2 linked regions of the Oreochromis niloticus genome follow. The protein of the gene in region 1 interacts with the protein of each later gene in a biochemical or structural test. Links are inferred from orthologs where the notes say so. Each region holds a gene or a part of one and is shown on either strand. Other genes may lie near its edges.

The links. The genes of interacting proteins can lie anywhere in the genome.
Region 2: the proteins of f5 (region 1) and pros1 form a complex in vitro, tested with the Homo sapiens proteins (2 studies listed by BioGRID). The link is inferred for Oreochromis niloticus from reciprocal best matches to the Homo sapiens genes F5 and PROS1.

What each region holds. Positions count from the first base shown.
Region 1 is NC_031987.2:31,365,116-31,372,937, forward strand, and holds the start of f5 (coagulation factor V), read left to right. Parts: upstream 1-4,659; 5' UTR 4,660-4,776; intron 4,777-5,203; exon of another isoform or gene 5,204-5,264; 5' UTR 5,265-5,300; coding exon 5,301-5,461; intron 5,462-5,707; coding exon 5,708-5,790; intron 5,791-6,530; coding exon 6,531-6,653; intron 6,654-7,822. Other genes in the region: UDP-sugar transporter protein SLC35A5, read right to left, coding at 126-314, 451-518, 743-876, 2,127-2,225, 2,382-2,508. UniProt on the Homo sapiens protein: Central regulator of hemostasis. It serves as a critical cofactor for the prothrombinase activity of factor Xa that results in the activation of prothrombin to thrombin.
Region 2 is NC_031965.2:16,493,222-16,501,103, reverse strand, and holds the start of pros1 (vitamin K-dependent protein S), read left to right. Parts: upstream 1-4,783; 5' UTR 4,784-5,044; coding exon 5,045-5,123; intron 5,124-5,651; coding exon 5,652-5,809; intron 5,810-6,675; coding exon 6,676-6,700; intron 6,701-6,798; coding exon 6,799-6,882; intron 6,883-6,964; coding exon 6,965-7,087; intron 7,088-7,232; coding exon 7,233-7,358; intron 7,359-7,882. Other genes in the region: rasa3 (ras GTPase-activating protein 3), read left to right, coding at 76-191, 321-529, 620-723, 818-1,001, 1,132-1,207. UniProt on the Homo sapiens protein: Anticoagulant plasma protein; it is a cofactor to activated protein C in the degradation of coagulation factors Va and VIIIa. It helps to prevent coagulation and stimulating fibrinolysis.

The sequences.
Region 1 (7,822 bases):
TTCTATTTTGTGCTGCTGCTCATCTTGTTCTGGAAAATTGTTCTGCTTCAAAAACATTTTAAATCTCCGAAGATCTACTTCCTAGTTAAGTAAAGGTTAAATAATCCTGCATGCTTCACGTTTACCTGCTGTTCTTCATCTCCTCCAGAAGCTGGGTGTAGAGTAGGCAAGAGTTGGAGGGGCTAGAAAGTGGGTTTGAGTGAAGACTGGGAACAGCTATTGAGTTTTGCTTGCCTCCTGATCCTGTTGTCAAGGAAACGATGGACAGGAAGAGAATAACCAACGCTGCCCACTGAACCCAAGACAGGCGCCTCCTGTAGGAAAAGGCCAAGTAAAAAAACAAAAAACAAATGACGCTTAATCTATTAGCTTATGATATCACCTCTCATTCTACAATCAAACACACACAACATATTTCTGAAGAACAGTTGAGTTAAAAGAGAAACTTACTTCAAAACAATTCTAAAGAGCACAGCTGTGGTCAGGATGACAAAGTTGGAGAACAACACTGCCATAGCCTGGGAACAAAACAGAACAGCAGCAGCTCAGCACATTTAAAGCATCAAATATTCGTGCAGGACATTTTGTTAATGCCAGTCTGATATGAAAAGCTCAAATCTACAAACTGGAAAATGAGATTTGGATGTTAACAAAGGGTTAAAAAATTTGCAGTCCAGGCAACCAAATTTCCCTCTAGCAGCTATCATTTAGCAAACATCTTAAATATCTTATCTGTACTAACGGGCTGCAGGTAGCTCATAACATAGAAGATGATGAGGTTGTCAAGAAAGTAAAGGAAAGCAGGGACGGCCCACTTCAGGGAGCTGAGGAAGGAAGAGCTGGAGGCACAACCCAAATCTCTGCATGATCGGCCCTCTGTAGTAACAGAAAGAAAGAGTCAACGAACATCCTTCACTCATGGAACACAGAATGAGGCCGGATGAACTTATGAACACAAATATTAGTTGTAAGACTTGTCGTGGTTTTTGTCATATTCGAGATATGATAAATACTAATACCCAGGTTATCGATCCCTTCCATTTTGTAATGGTTAATTCAACATTCCTGTTGCCACTGACCTTTAATTGGAGAGTTGACCTTATTTTGACTGGCCATCATTCACTAACCTGTCTCCTATAGACTTCATTAGTTTAGATTTTTAGTGCCTTCTATGATCTAAGCCAGCAGGTATATTGAAATCTAAAAATAATTTCAACAGGCAGCCACACCTATGTATGATAAACTAATAGGTAAGGCCCCAAAATTTTGGAGACACAGGACTTTATAATAAATAATACATAATTAATCATTCATTAATAATGGTCCTAAAAACAGATCAGCCATATTTAACTGGTATGTTTTTCTTTATTTTCATAGGCAAACTTGTAGAACTTGTAATCATACTTAATCACACACAACACTATCTTAGTTTCTTTTTAACTTCTTCCACATTCAAGCAATTTGCCCAGATATCTGAAACTGAGGGTGTTTGTGCTTGTTTACTCTGGTCCTAATCACTTGATGAGTTTGTAAACTTTTAGCTTTTCCCTGTGATTGGGTTTGTTTCCACACAGAGAAGAATTCAAGTGAACTCCATGCAAACCAAACTGCGTCACTACAAACCATGTGACAATGTGCAGTTTGCTCAGCAGCCAGATGTGTCAGGACGGGAGCAACAAAAGTAAACGCAGGAAGAAGGTGCTGTGTTCTGGGCTATTTGAGAACCCAGAGAATTTACATTTATTTCATGGCTAGCTGCTAGCTCGTACAGACCTTTGCACATCTATAGTACCTTTCGATGCTGAGATTACAAAGCATACATTGCAATGGGATGGGGGGTTTTTTATAGCTCAAACTACACCTTCACAACATAAACGAAGTGCTCCGGAGTTCATTTGGAACTGTACCGAGACCACCTCCTCCAAAGGGTCTCGGTGCTGTTCTTTTCATCCGCTCCTGAGTGCAGTCACACCTGCACAAACGAACCGCACCAAGGGGGGAAAACGAACTAGAGTTTGATTTAAACAGACAAAACACTGCAGGTGTGAAAACACCTCGAGATGTGATATGAAACCAGAACATAAGCTGATCCCAACCAGGACATACACGCAGACATCAATGTTTACCTCGGACTATGACCCTGACTGACATGACCAGACAGAAGAGCAGTTTAAGAGCCTCGGCAAGCAGATTTACAGATGCTGGGAGGAAGTCGTACTTGTTTTCTGCAAACAGAACAAAAAGTGAAGACACGTGCTAAGCAAGCTGCCAACACATCACTGTAATGCACGCCAGAAAAATTAACACTGTTTTTTAAATCTTTTTATCCAGCTGTGAAAAAAAAAAAAAAGTTGTGCATGTGTTTACTGTCAGGTAATCACCAGCATTGGCAGACATTTTCAGAAGTAGGATGCGGCTGGTCCCCAGGGTTACAAAGCCTAGCCCGAGAGCAAGAGTGTAGGCTGATGAGCGGGAGCACAGCCTGGGGCACAAGGGGCAGCACGCCATGGCTGCGACTGGAAATGGATGCAGCCAAACCTGCTGGAATACATACAAACATGCACGCACACATGTTTATCAAACTGACCCTTTACATTATGATTATTATACTGCCAAAGAATTTTTAAAACTGTTGTGTGTGTCTCTGAAAAGACTAAGATAAAGATTTTAAAAAGACAACATTGACAGGATGTAAGTGTAAACTAAAACTTGCAGAAATAATGATTAAATACGAGACAGTAAAAACAACACTGCAGGTTAATTTGGTTAAAAGAATATCACTCTGATTATGCTGTGTGAGCTGTTTAGAGATATGTGATGGCTTTTCCTTTAATGGCTCATCTGTGAAACAGCTTATGAGGAGAAACAACGCAGTATAATGCAATACAAAGATGACCGTGTCATTGAGACTAAATACCCCCTTATCTTATATTTCAATATTCGGTAAGATGACCTTTATTTTTCAAGAAACCTTCAACTGTATCAGGCAAGCTTTCAGGTCAATTCTTTAAGTAATCCAAGAGTTTTATGTGGATGTTGGTTGTTTTTGTTTATTCTCTGTCAAACTATGACTCAATAAGCACTGTTGCAACAGGGCTCACATGGATTTTCAGTCTGGTTATTGTGTCATTTGGCATACCATAACATTTTCTTCCAATTTCCCTTCCTTAAGAGTCATTAAGGAAGCCACCATTTCTGATGCAGCTTCAGTAAGCAGTATATGGATCAACTGCAACCCCAGATGCATCTCTCGGGTCCTGTGTCAGGTCTTTGCTGCATTTTTTCACCCTGATTCTAAAAAACGTGACTTTGAGATACTGTTAATCAGCTGTGGGCAGGTTTTTAAGCCTGCCACTTCTTCTTTTGTCCTCCACTTGTCTACCTTCCTTAAATGCTTGTGAAGACACACTGGACACCACACTGAGATATGCCAGGTTTTCCGCTAACACCTCTTTGGTGCAAGAAATACAATTTTGTCCCTGTCAAACAGCATTATCCTGGGCATTTGTTGTATATTCAAATAAATAAATGGGCACAAAATCTGTGTTTTTGTGAGAGGCTGCAAGTAATAAAGTGGCTAGAAATACATTTTAAAATTGGCTCTTTGCTCAGTTGTTCGTTACACAACACTGAGTTGGGCACTTGAAAAATTCACAGGTCAGTGTTAAGTGGCTTATCAAACAAACAAAAATAAATAAATAAAAGTTCCTCTGAAAATAATCAGGTACAACGACTGGACTGATAATTTTTTTTTTTTTTTTAAAGCCGCCAATAGCCAAAAATGAGGGAAACCTCAATATTTTAGCACAGTACTGTATATCCACAATTTCACCAAGACAAACAAAAAAAAAAAAACCAAAAAAAAAAAAACACCACTCCCTGTTAAGTGAAATAAGTATTGGTGCTGGGGGGGTTCTGTTCACTAATTTAACAAAAAAATAATAATAATGATGATGATTACACCAGATAACTATAATAACTATTGAATGATGTTTTAAAAGTAGTCTTGCTTTAATTTTAAGCTTATTTGATACAGTACTTCGTCTCCGACTCACAAGAGGAAATACGTGTTTTTGTACTCTTCCAATCTACTGCGTTTGGAGAAAAACGCGACTTACATTACCTTGACCTTGGCGTCTGAGAACCTACACAGACCTAAATACACAGAATTTAAACACCGACACTTTGCTGAAATACGTAGTTATATTTCACTTTTACAAAGACTTACTGACTTAAAAACTAACAAAACAATCTAACGGCAAAAATAGTCGACAGTTTTTAAATCAACTTCCAGCTTTTGAGATAATTTAAACTCCATTGCCATGTCCAATAATACTCATAAAACTTAAAAATCACCCGAAAATTGTCGGCACGGTAAGTTAGACTGTTCAAACACACAAAATTCAACACACAGCTCTAAGCACAGAGGTAGCCTTGCATCACTAGCCTTTAAATCGTCACCTTTGTGCCAATAAACACCGATACAACACGCGTGTTCTTTTAAATATTCGGAAATTATTTTTTGAGGCCACTGTCCATAACATGAGAAAACAGGGCAATGTTATAAATACCTGCCTGCTAGTCTTCTTTAGTACAAAACATAACCGAGGGATTCCATCTCGTCAACACTGGCGCTTCCTGGTTGGTCTGCGCATGCGTTAAGACACAGGTTACGACGTCATCCCGTTGTATTTATGTTCACCGGACAAGAAAATAAAGTACAATCGAGACAAGGGGAAATAAGAGACAAGAGAAAAATGATACACGAATAAAAGCGTGAGTATGAGAATAAATTTTTTTTTGTCTTTGTTTGATGTAAATGTGAGACTTTAAGTCACACCTTACTTAAAAATAATAATAAACTGGTAAACACTGACAAATAAGTGAATGTCCAGATATGAGTTTAGGCTACATTTAACAGTATTTCAACTGCGTGAAATTGGGGTAAACCAAAATGACGCGTGCCCACACCTATTACACATACGTGATTTTCTGGGACATTCTTAGGTCAGAGAAATTTACGATCAGATTTCCAACACTCATTCCCACTGAAAATTTTTAGGGATGTTTGGGAATCAGCACCCTTCGGGAAGTAACGCACATGTAGTTCCAGTTGCAAAAGGGAAAAAAAAATATGCAGAGGCGCAGTTCATTGCCCTAGGACATAATGTTTGAACTAGCAAGTGTGGGTATGTGTACGTGTGTCAGTGGCAGATAAAGCACACAGCAGACTCTCTGTCAGCTCCCACGTTCTTGACTTGTAGAAGAGAGCACACTCGCCTGGAGGACTGATCGTAAGTATGAGGCTCCGTGTCCGGGCTGGAGCTCGCTGGCTCCTACCTGTCCTGGTTCTTTTGACTGCCCACCAGGTCAAAGCAAACCAGCCTCAGCCTAAGGAGAGACATTACTACATTGCTGCTGTGGAGATAGATTGGAAATACTCTGGCAACGACACAGACGGGTAGGACAGCACTTCAAAATTTGATACAGAGTGACTGGAATTCTTTTTGGTTTGGGGTTTTTTTTGTGTCTGGTAACATTATTATTGTATTTTTAAAACTCCATTTTATTATGTAATCAGTAGTCACACCTTGTTAAATCAGTAAATTTCACATCTTAGAGTCTATGCATCATTGTGTATGTAATGTGGGGATTTTCTTATGTGTGCCCAATGAGTAATGTTTTGTGTTTTTCCACCCTGCCTTAGGTCTGGTCCCACCTATAAGAAAGTGGTCTTTCGGGAATATGAGAAAGGCTTCAGACAGGCTAAGACTCATCCATCATGGTTAGGTAAATGATGTGGTTTACATGAACACACCGTATGTCTGGTTTAAAATTTTAAGTAACACTTGCCCTGTCTGCACATTAACTAACCTGTGAGATAGAGGGGTGTATTTACCAATAACGTTCCCAGAAAGCAGTCACCATGTACATGCATGTATATTAGAGACTTAATGAATCAGTGTTGAGGAGCTTTTAAGGTGCCCCGGTGTCGCGCAGTGGGAAAAAAACACAGACAGACAGTCGCTATCAAATGCACTCTTTATATCTTCAGGACACATAAGGTTATTATTAATTTAATGTATCACTCCAAGTGCATATTAATGGATAAGCAGCTACTACTTTTGCTAATTTTTCTCTGAAAGAACTGAATTAAAAGGTGAATTCCTTCAGTTTTTACAAACACCAAAAAGACATCAGCATGGTGAGGTAGTGTTTTTTCATGTTTTTTGGACTTTCTCCCTTCCACCTCTTATGTGGTGCCAAATCATATCTTCTTAGCAGGATGGTGAAATAACAGTCACAGAATAATTCCTTTCCCAGAAAGCAAGAGGGAAAAATATAAAGCTGTATTTACAAAAAAGAAGGTTACTTTCATTTTATTGCAAATGTTTACGGTTAAGTTGCTGTGCAAATCAACAGTTAAAGAGAAAGAGTGATGAGTCAGTCTGCGTTTATCCAAGTCTGTCCCTGTGATGAACTGAAGCCTTTGAAATGACATGATTCCACATAAATAAACTTCTCTGCAGGTCTCCTTGGTCCCACACTGAGGGCAGAAGAAGGGGAGACGATTGTTGTAACTTTCAGAAACATGGCCACCAGCCCATATAGCATCAGCCCACACGGTGTGGCTTATGGGAAACAGTCTGAGGGTGAGTGCGTATTAACCCAGCTGCTAACAGATGAATGCAAAAGATGCTGTTATCCTTAAAACAACAGTACCACTACTCCATAACATAGTCTGCCTCTTAATGTTTCTGTGAGTGCTTGTGATGTTTCTCATTGTAATAATTACACAACATTAGCCAATACAACAAACAAATCTGTTTGTCTTCTTCTAAAATATTAACCAGGCAGGCAGATTATCAAAGCAGACAGTTCTGAAGTCCAACAGGAAGAACTGCTAAGCCTTAGGAAATCCCTCTCTGAGACTTACGGGAATTAAAGTGAACTTAGGAAATTGAGGCAAAGTGTTCCTTAATTTGCTCTTAATACAAAAGTCAGAGTACACAGGAAACACAAAAATTAAAGAACACCATGCAGGAGAGTCTGCATTATTTTTGGAAACTGTTCGAAGCTGGTTATAAAAAAAGCTCAAAATCTTCTCAGACTTCCACACACCAGCGTTATAGTTTTGTATCTTCTAATTAGTTTTCAAGTTTCAGTTAGTGTCCACAGTTAAGTTTAGCCTGTGTTTTAAAGTGTTTAGTTTTAGCTTAGTTTTTATTAGTTTCACTGTTAGTTTTAGCCTTTATTGTTCATTATTGTATGGAGGGCATATATCAGAGGCAAAATCAGTACACTTATTACAATAAGGTGTCATGTTTCGCTGTGTGGCAGGCAGGATGTAGGACCCAAATGCAGGACTCATGGACAACGAAAGAGCGAACTAAAGGAGGCAGCTTTATTCAGGGTGTAAAAACTAACATTAAGTACAAAACTAAACTAGAAACTGGAAACTAGAAACTTCAACTAGAACACAAGAAAACGAACCAGGAAGAGTAAACTCGGAAACAGCTAGCAACACGGAGGAAAACACACAGCATTGTGAGGGTACAATGCAACAACAAGCAGGGGAAGACTGAGGAGTAAAATACACACGTAGGAAACGAGAGGATAGGGAAAAAGGTGGAAACACAGCTGGGACTAATCAGATGTAAAAGCTCAGAACACTGAACACAAGACAGGGACTATCAAAATAAAACAGAAAACACATGACAGGCACAAAGGCAAGGACTTGATACTGAACAGAGGGAACACGGAGCACAGGGACAGGAGCGACATGAGACACGACTGACTGGGGAACAAGAAAATACACATG
Region 2 (7,882 bases), on another chromosome or scaffold:
GGATGGGACAGCTTTACGCAATGCCACGCATCTCAATGACAGTCATAACAATCCAGTTTGTTATTACCTCAACAGTTCCATCTCTGATGTTGTTCCTGTTCCCACCAGGTGAGGGAGCTCTTTGCAGCATTCCCATAGAGAACATTCTGGCTGTAGAGCGGCTGGAGGAGGAGTCTTTCAAAATGAAAAATGTAAGGACCCCCCTGTGAGCCCCTGTGAAATATTTGAGGGTTTGAGCATGTGGGCCCAAATCTCTCCTACAAGTGTTTACTTTCTTAACTAACTTGCACTCCTTTCTCCCCACACTCCTCCTCCTTCAGATGTTCCAGGTCATTCAGCCAGAGCGGGCGCTCTACATCCAGGCCAACAACTGCGTAGAGGCGCGCGACTGGATCGACATCCTGACCAAAGTCAGCCAGTGCAACCGCAAACGCCTGAGCACCTACCACCCTTCAGCCTACCTCAACGGCCACTGGCTATGCTGCAAGCTCTCAGCAGACACGGCTCCCGGGTGTACGCCCTGCACCGGGTACATAAAGTTGCTAACATCTGCACAGCTTCACATTCCTGTGCTTTGTTTCCGCTCTCTCTCATTCCATGCACGCTTCGTTTTTTTCAGCGGCCTCCCGGCAAACATCCAGCTGGATGTAGATGGTGACAGAGAGACCGAGAGAATTTACTCCCTGTTCAGCACATACATGACCAAACTGATCAAGATGCAAGGTTAGACGCCAAGCGCATGTTTTTTTTTTTCTTTTCAAACTTCCCACATGTATTTTTTTCACATTTCCGTCTCTCATTCCGTTTCCCGCTGCAGAGGCCTGCGGCAGTAAGTCGGTATATGACGGCCCCGAGCAGGAGGAGTACTCCACCTTCGTCATAGACGACCCCCAGGAGACCTACAAAACCCTGAAGCAGATCATTTCAGCCGTGCAGACGCTGGAACAGCAGCACACCAAGTACAAACGCGACAAGTTCAAGAAGACAAAGATAGGCAGCCAGTACGTCCACTGCTTGTGTTGTATTCGAAGGTTAAGTTATAGATGAATGCATTTATTGTATCTATAACAAAGTGGAGGCGCTAGTTCAGAACACTGCAGTCACATTTTTTTCCCTTTTCTTTGTCCTCAGGGAGCATCCGATTGGAGACAAGAGTTTCCAGTGCTACATCCGCCAGCAGTCTGAGAGCTCCACCTACTCCATCTAGCCACAGCCCTGGATCCGGTTTCTGTGATGCTCAAAACCAGCATATTTTTCTCTACTGCAGAAAAATCCACCGAAATTGAGCTCTGTGTCTGGTATTGAGTTTTAAAGCATTTCCCGTGTCTAAAATAAGCAAATAAAATAACTTCCTTAAGACGCTTGTGGAAGTAAAGCAACCTTTCACCCCGATCTGATCTAGTTTTGAGAAAATGACAACTTTACGACTCATTGCCAAACTCCAAGAGCCGCGTATATGGACCTACCTGCAGTTTCTCAAAGTGCATCGCTCCACATTTGGACAAACAGACCTCACTTTTAGAAGAGAGAGGGAGGAGAAAAAAGAGGAGCACTTGTGGAGGAAAGGAGGGATATGAGTGAAGAGGGAACCGTCTCCTTTCCGCGACGTGACGAGAGAACAAAGGTTTTCACTGGACAGTTCTGACAGTGACCAGCACGCACTTTAATCGCCTCCAAATCTTCGGACGAACAAGCCTCACAGCACACTTTTCAGAAAGCGACTTTTACCTCTTTGATTTGTGTGCGGTTATTTTAAATGTTGTTGAAATTGTTACCTTTCATTTGCCGTCTGACGGACGAAGCTCCAGACGAGAAGGAAGGACTGCAGCTTATCCCCTCTGCGGGTGATGTTATACCTGTGTACCTTTCACTTTCAAGCCTCTCCCCCCAGCGTCTTCGGGATACAAGTTCAGGAAGAGCCACAAAAAAAAAAGAAAAAAGGGATCATCGGGCCCATTTGCAGCCCAAGCGACTTCATTTAAGCTACCAAAAATCTCTCCACGTACAATTTTAGCCCACATTTTTAAACCTTTTCAAAAGAGGTTTCCACGTTTTGTTTTTTAAGCTTTGATCTGTTTTGGTTGGTCGTCATGCCCCAATGAAACCAGTACCCAGGTTGGCATTTTTTTTCCCCCCTGCCCGCACAGGTTATGCTGTAATCATGGGTAAATTACATCATTCAAAACCAGTTTCTTTAGATGCAGAAAATGTGCATGTGGCAGAACAAGTCCTTTTTCAGGTACAGCCGTACAGTCTAGTGGACTACGTTATACTGATACAAACACAAGGGAGACAGAATATTAGAGAACTCTGAGTACAGTGTAGTCCAGTACAAAACTGGCTTTAATAATTACAGCAGAGCAGCTGTATGGATTTCATAAGACACAATTTTCATCACTCACTGTCCATTTATGGTGGATAAGTATAATTAATGTCAGAAAAGCAGCTTTAATAATGAAACAGAAAGACACTTTTCCCCGACACCCAGCGCTAGGCTGAGACCACACAGCTTGGCGTTAGCTCAGAGGCCTGTTTCACTCCTGTGTAAGCAGGAAAATAAGTAAAAGCCTGTCTACCCCCTCCAGCTATCACAAATGAGATCATTAACAGGGATGTTTTATTTTCAGATACACTTCTAATTATTACACAAACTAACATTTTAACCTGTCTTAGATTGTAATTGTGAAATGGATAGAGTGTGACTGATTGTGTTGCCCCGCTGGTTACCTAATAACAATGTGGTTCTTTTGTTTCTGTGAGTTAGCCTCCCACTCCCTCCGTACCTTGTCGTTTGAACTCTTATTTATATGCATTCCACTGAAAAGCTACCTGCTGTGAAGCGCCTCACGATCTATTGAAGGTACAGGATTTATTGTTGCTAGCCAACTGTGTTGTGTTGTCCCACGCTTTCGCAAAGGCGGCCGCATTTTTTTGTCTTTCACTCCGACAGTGCATGTGAAGTGTAGACAGCAGACTCTGCAAGCGACTACAAACCACGACTTTTGTATTTTCCGAATCCAAGTATGTGCTTATGTAGCCTCGCGGGTGTTCGCCCCCATGGTCACAGGATCCCAAACAGTGCCAGTTATCACTTTTCTAAAGTTCATTTTTGAAATATATATATAAATATATTAAAAAAAAAAACAACTGTACTGTTTGTAAAACAGCTGAACAACTAATCCAATTATATGTTTTTGTTTTTTGGGTGGGTCAAATAAGGAAGGTTCTCAACAATTTGACTCTGTTTTCTATCTTGTCATACGGAAATTTTGCTGTGTATCTGAGCTGGATGAGGTGTGTGTGTGTCTGTGTCTGTTATGTGGGTGTGTGCTTATTTTTGTCAGTGTGGACACATGTGACTGACGTGATGGGTTGTGTTGCCAATTGATCAAACAGTGTTACAGGTCAGGAAAGGCAGATCACTGCCTGTAATTATACTGAAGACACTGTTACTTCACTCTTGGCCTGACTTAGCGTATCCCTTCTTTCCTCTCATATACAATCACTGTTTCTTTTCAAGAAGATATTGCCAATCTATTCTCCCCAGATGTCTTATGAACAGTAAAAATATTAAGAGAGCAGCCTGGGTTTAACCTCTTTCAGGTTTTCCTCCCCCTACAGGTTACTAACTCTCCTCAGGTTTATGAAACTCATATTTATTATAACTTTCATTCAAACCTTCCCAGAATTCCCAGCGAAGTTGGTGTGGGTATGACTCCTCCAACCCCGATACCCATAAAAGGAATGAATTATGCAATAACGGTGTTTCAGCATGCAATAATATTAACAAGCCCTCGATAAGCCTGTCAAGTGATCACAAATTAACAATGCGCATCTGCTGATGTTTTGCAGTCAGATGCCTCTTCAGATAAACACATATTATAAAAGGGAGAACAGTGTATTTTGTACAAATATTTTAAAAGTATTAAAATAAGCCTGTTATTTGTGTACATAAAACAATTGAATGAATGGTGAAAATGTGATGTGTTTTTTTTCCCGAGTAACCAAATGAAACAATTATTAATGCAAATCTGGTGTCTGTGTCATTTATTACATATCAGTAATGTCTACTGTACAAACTCACATTAGCAGATTTATATTGTTTTGTTAGAATTGCCCTGCCTAAGTATGCCAAGCTTGTAGCATCATACTGATAAAGACGTTATTATTATCATTATTATTAGCACTCAGAGCGCATTACACTCAAAAAAGGCCCACCTTAAACACGAAGTAGGAACCTTTCACACGATACCATAACAAATAATTTAAATGTTACACATAAAATTATAAAGTGAGGTAAGTGGCAATGAAGTAATGTATGTGAAACCTAATATACATTTTTTTAATCTACTACATATTCTAATCTACACAAATTAAATGTGACAAAAAATAAATACATAACGACGTTTACACGATGATGATTATGATTATTATTACTATTATAACTGCTGCTATACTATATAGTGAAATAATACAATAAGTAAAAAAACATTAAAAGTAGTTTAGCAGTGCCATCTTTCCTTGGATGCTTAGCAACGGGCAGACATTTGCGCCATTTTTTTCTCGTCTTTTTTTGGTGGTGGCATCTGTGTGCGTGTCTGTGTGTGTGGGGGGGGCGTATAATGATATTTTGGACTTTAAGAATAATTAAAAGTATTATTACTATTCCTGATACTAGAGCACAGAGTTTTGTGGTTATTTACCTACACAGTGTGTCTCGGGCCTCCTTTAGTAAACCTATTTTCTGCATGAGTTCAGCCTGAGCCGAGCCGCACGCGCACGCTCGGTTAAAAAAAATAACGGCAGAGAGCGCGTGAGTGTGCGTGCAGCGTTCCCTAGCTGCCTCCCCTCTCCTCACACTCCACACACACACACACACAACCCCTCCGTGTCCCGCTCCGCTGGCAGCTGCCTGTGCTCCCCCCATCTCACCCGACGAAAAACACTTTCGGGAAGAATAAAGTTTTTTCCCCTCACGGACCTGCCGCTCAGCCAGTCTCTACTCGCAGCCAAACCGTGGCCTAGCAGGAGGAACGGCTCGACTATGTGGAGAAAGAAGCGGGCTCTTGGGGAACCCCTGGCTTGTCTCGTGTTACTGGTGACGCTGGTCGATGCTTATCGGTGTAAGTACGCTTGAGGTTTTGCGGTTTTACGTGTTGAGCTGGACTGTAGTGTTTAGTCAGAGTGTCCCAGTTTGAAGAGAGCAGTTCACAGACTGGATGAGACCAGCTGGGAACCGTTTCAGGACTTCAATATTTTTTTAATCCCTTTTAGCATATGTGAGGGTCACATGGCTCCGTTGTTCACCATGAAACAATGCTTGGAAAACAACGTGAAGTGCTTGTTACAGCAACTAGGGGTCATTTCTGAGAAATGGCGGTTTCGCAATAACCCTCCCTACCTCTTTTCGGGCCAATTCATCTAAAAGTAATTAAGCTGCCCTGTTCATCCATTTAGACAGAAGCCTCGGGAGAGCTGTCATGACAGAGGAGGCTTTAATTCCTACGGGCATCAGTCATTTCTTTTTATTGTAATGTTGTTACAGGTGTTTGTTAACCAGCAATTGGTTTGTTGGACTCAAAACAGAGCTGACAGTTAAAAGATGTGCTACGTGCATGCGGTGTATACATAAGTGTTTGTGTCTCCCATAGTCCTGAGCCAGAGCACAGCCTCGCAGTTCCTGAGCAGGCACAGGAGGGCCAACTCACTGTTTGAGGAGAGCAAGAAGGGCAACCTGGAAAGGGAGTGCATCGAGGAGCTGTGCAACAAGGAGGAGGCCAGGGAGATCTTTGAGAACCAACTGGAGACGGTGAGAGCTGACAGGGAAAGCCAGGCCCAACTGGTCAAACTGAAGTGACTAGATGGGAGTGAAGAAGAAGATGAAATAAGCAGCAAAAGTTGTAACAGTGGATTGGATTTTTGGCTGTTATCCAGCATGTGTTACTAATGACATTATGACGGCACAGAGCTTTAATTAACGTGATTAGTAACACAGTTAATCGGTGGTTAGGGAGCTCCAAGTCGTTTAAGATAAGAAATAAGATAAACCTTTATTAGTCCCACACATGGGAAATTTTTTGGTCACGGCAGAAAGTACAAGTTTAAGAGCAGTAAAAGTTAAGAAAAACTCAATAGAATAGGAGAAGATAAAATAGAATAACATACTATACAACAAGAACAAGATACTATATACAATAGAATAAAGTACCAACAAAATAGAATAAAATACTGTACAAAATAGAAAAAATGCTCTGTTATAGTAGGAAAAAACAAATATCTGTACTGCAAGTATTTACTGCTTCTTCATCTTCAGCTACTTTTAGGGGGCACCACAGAGGATCATGTACCTCTATCTCACCCTGTCCCTAGCATCCTCCCCTGTCACATCAACCCTCCTTCACTACATCCATAAATCCTCTCTGTGTTTTTAATTCTGCCCTGCAGCTCCCTAGTCATTATTTTTTTGCCAAAATATCCACCATACCTTCTCTGATCATGTCCAAACCATCTCAGCCTTATCTCTCGCTCTGACTTTGTCTCTAAATGTCTCCATCTCATCTGTTTGGGCTCTTGCTGTAAAGTAGTAAAAGCTAAAGATGCAGCTGCATTTTCTCCTTTCTGCCCTTATCAGTAAATACCAAACTGTCAGCAGCCTTTTTTTTCTTTTTTTTGCAGGAATACTTTTACCCTAAATATGTTGGTAAGTCTGCTAAATGAGTCACATTTCTTAATATTTTTGCACTGTCTATTTTGTCTATTTTTGCACTGTCTCAAATAAACGCTAATTTTTTTCGGCAGCGTGTCTGGGTTCGCACCGTGTCGGCATAAATAACCAGCACTCAAATGCCGGCATCCCCTCTAACCTTCGCACCTGTGTGCAAGGTGAGCTTAAACCTCGAACTAAGCTTTTCATATGCCTGTTACACTTCTCTGTAGCTGTCAAATGCTGTGTTTCCAAAACCAGAGATCAGTAATCAGTGCACGCCGTTTCCATGCTACAAGGAGGGTACAGAGCGCTGCGCGGACGGCATGGCCGCCTTCACGTGTGTGTGCAAGCAGGGCTGGAAGGGGCCACGCTGTGAGGAAGGTGAGTTCTCATTTAGTCTTTTGGCATTTTAAACATTTTTCGTCATATCTTACTAAAAATACATCCAGCGATCATTTATTTATATTTATTTATTTATATGGGACCTGCTGCTGACTTATTTTTGTGTGGCGTATCGACTGGGTAGACGTCGATGAGTGTTCGGATCCTGAACTTCATGCCGGATGTAATCAAATATGTCAGAATATCCCAGGTAGCTTCCACTGCATGTGTGAAGAAGGCTACATACTCACCCACAACATCAACTGCATGGGTAAGACTCTACTGGATGGTCATTTTAATAATAATTAGGCTTAACTGATTTTCCTTATATACAGTTGTTTGTGTCACGTGTGTGCCAGCTCTGTTTTTTACGGTTTTACACGGCAGCTGAGCACACGGGATATAATTCTAATTACTTTCTTTTTTATTTATTCATATAGATGCATTGCAAAACAAATTAAAAAAAAAAGATCAGCTCCCCCAGCTGTTGCCCTCTGGGGCCGCATCACTTGTTTTTTTCAAAGCTGACCTGAGGTGACTCCTTATGTAAGAGAAGGGGAAAGCTTTTAACATCTGAAAAGATGGTTCATCCTGATTGTTGTAAACACACCAGCAGGCTCGTAGCTCAGAGCTGTAAAAACATGCTTAAACTGTCCGTGCTTATCGTTGCCTGATTTCTCTGCATCTTGTTTTGCTGTGTGTGGGCAAACCAGTCACTGTTTGTCTTTCAGGCTGACCACTGCATGTTGAGTTCAAAGTCTTCACAAACATGTACTGAGTCAGACTGATAAATTT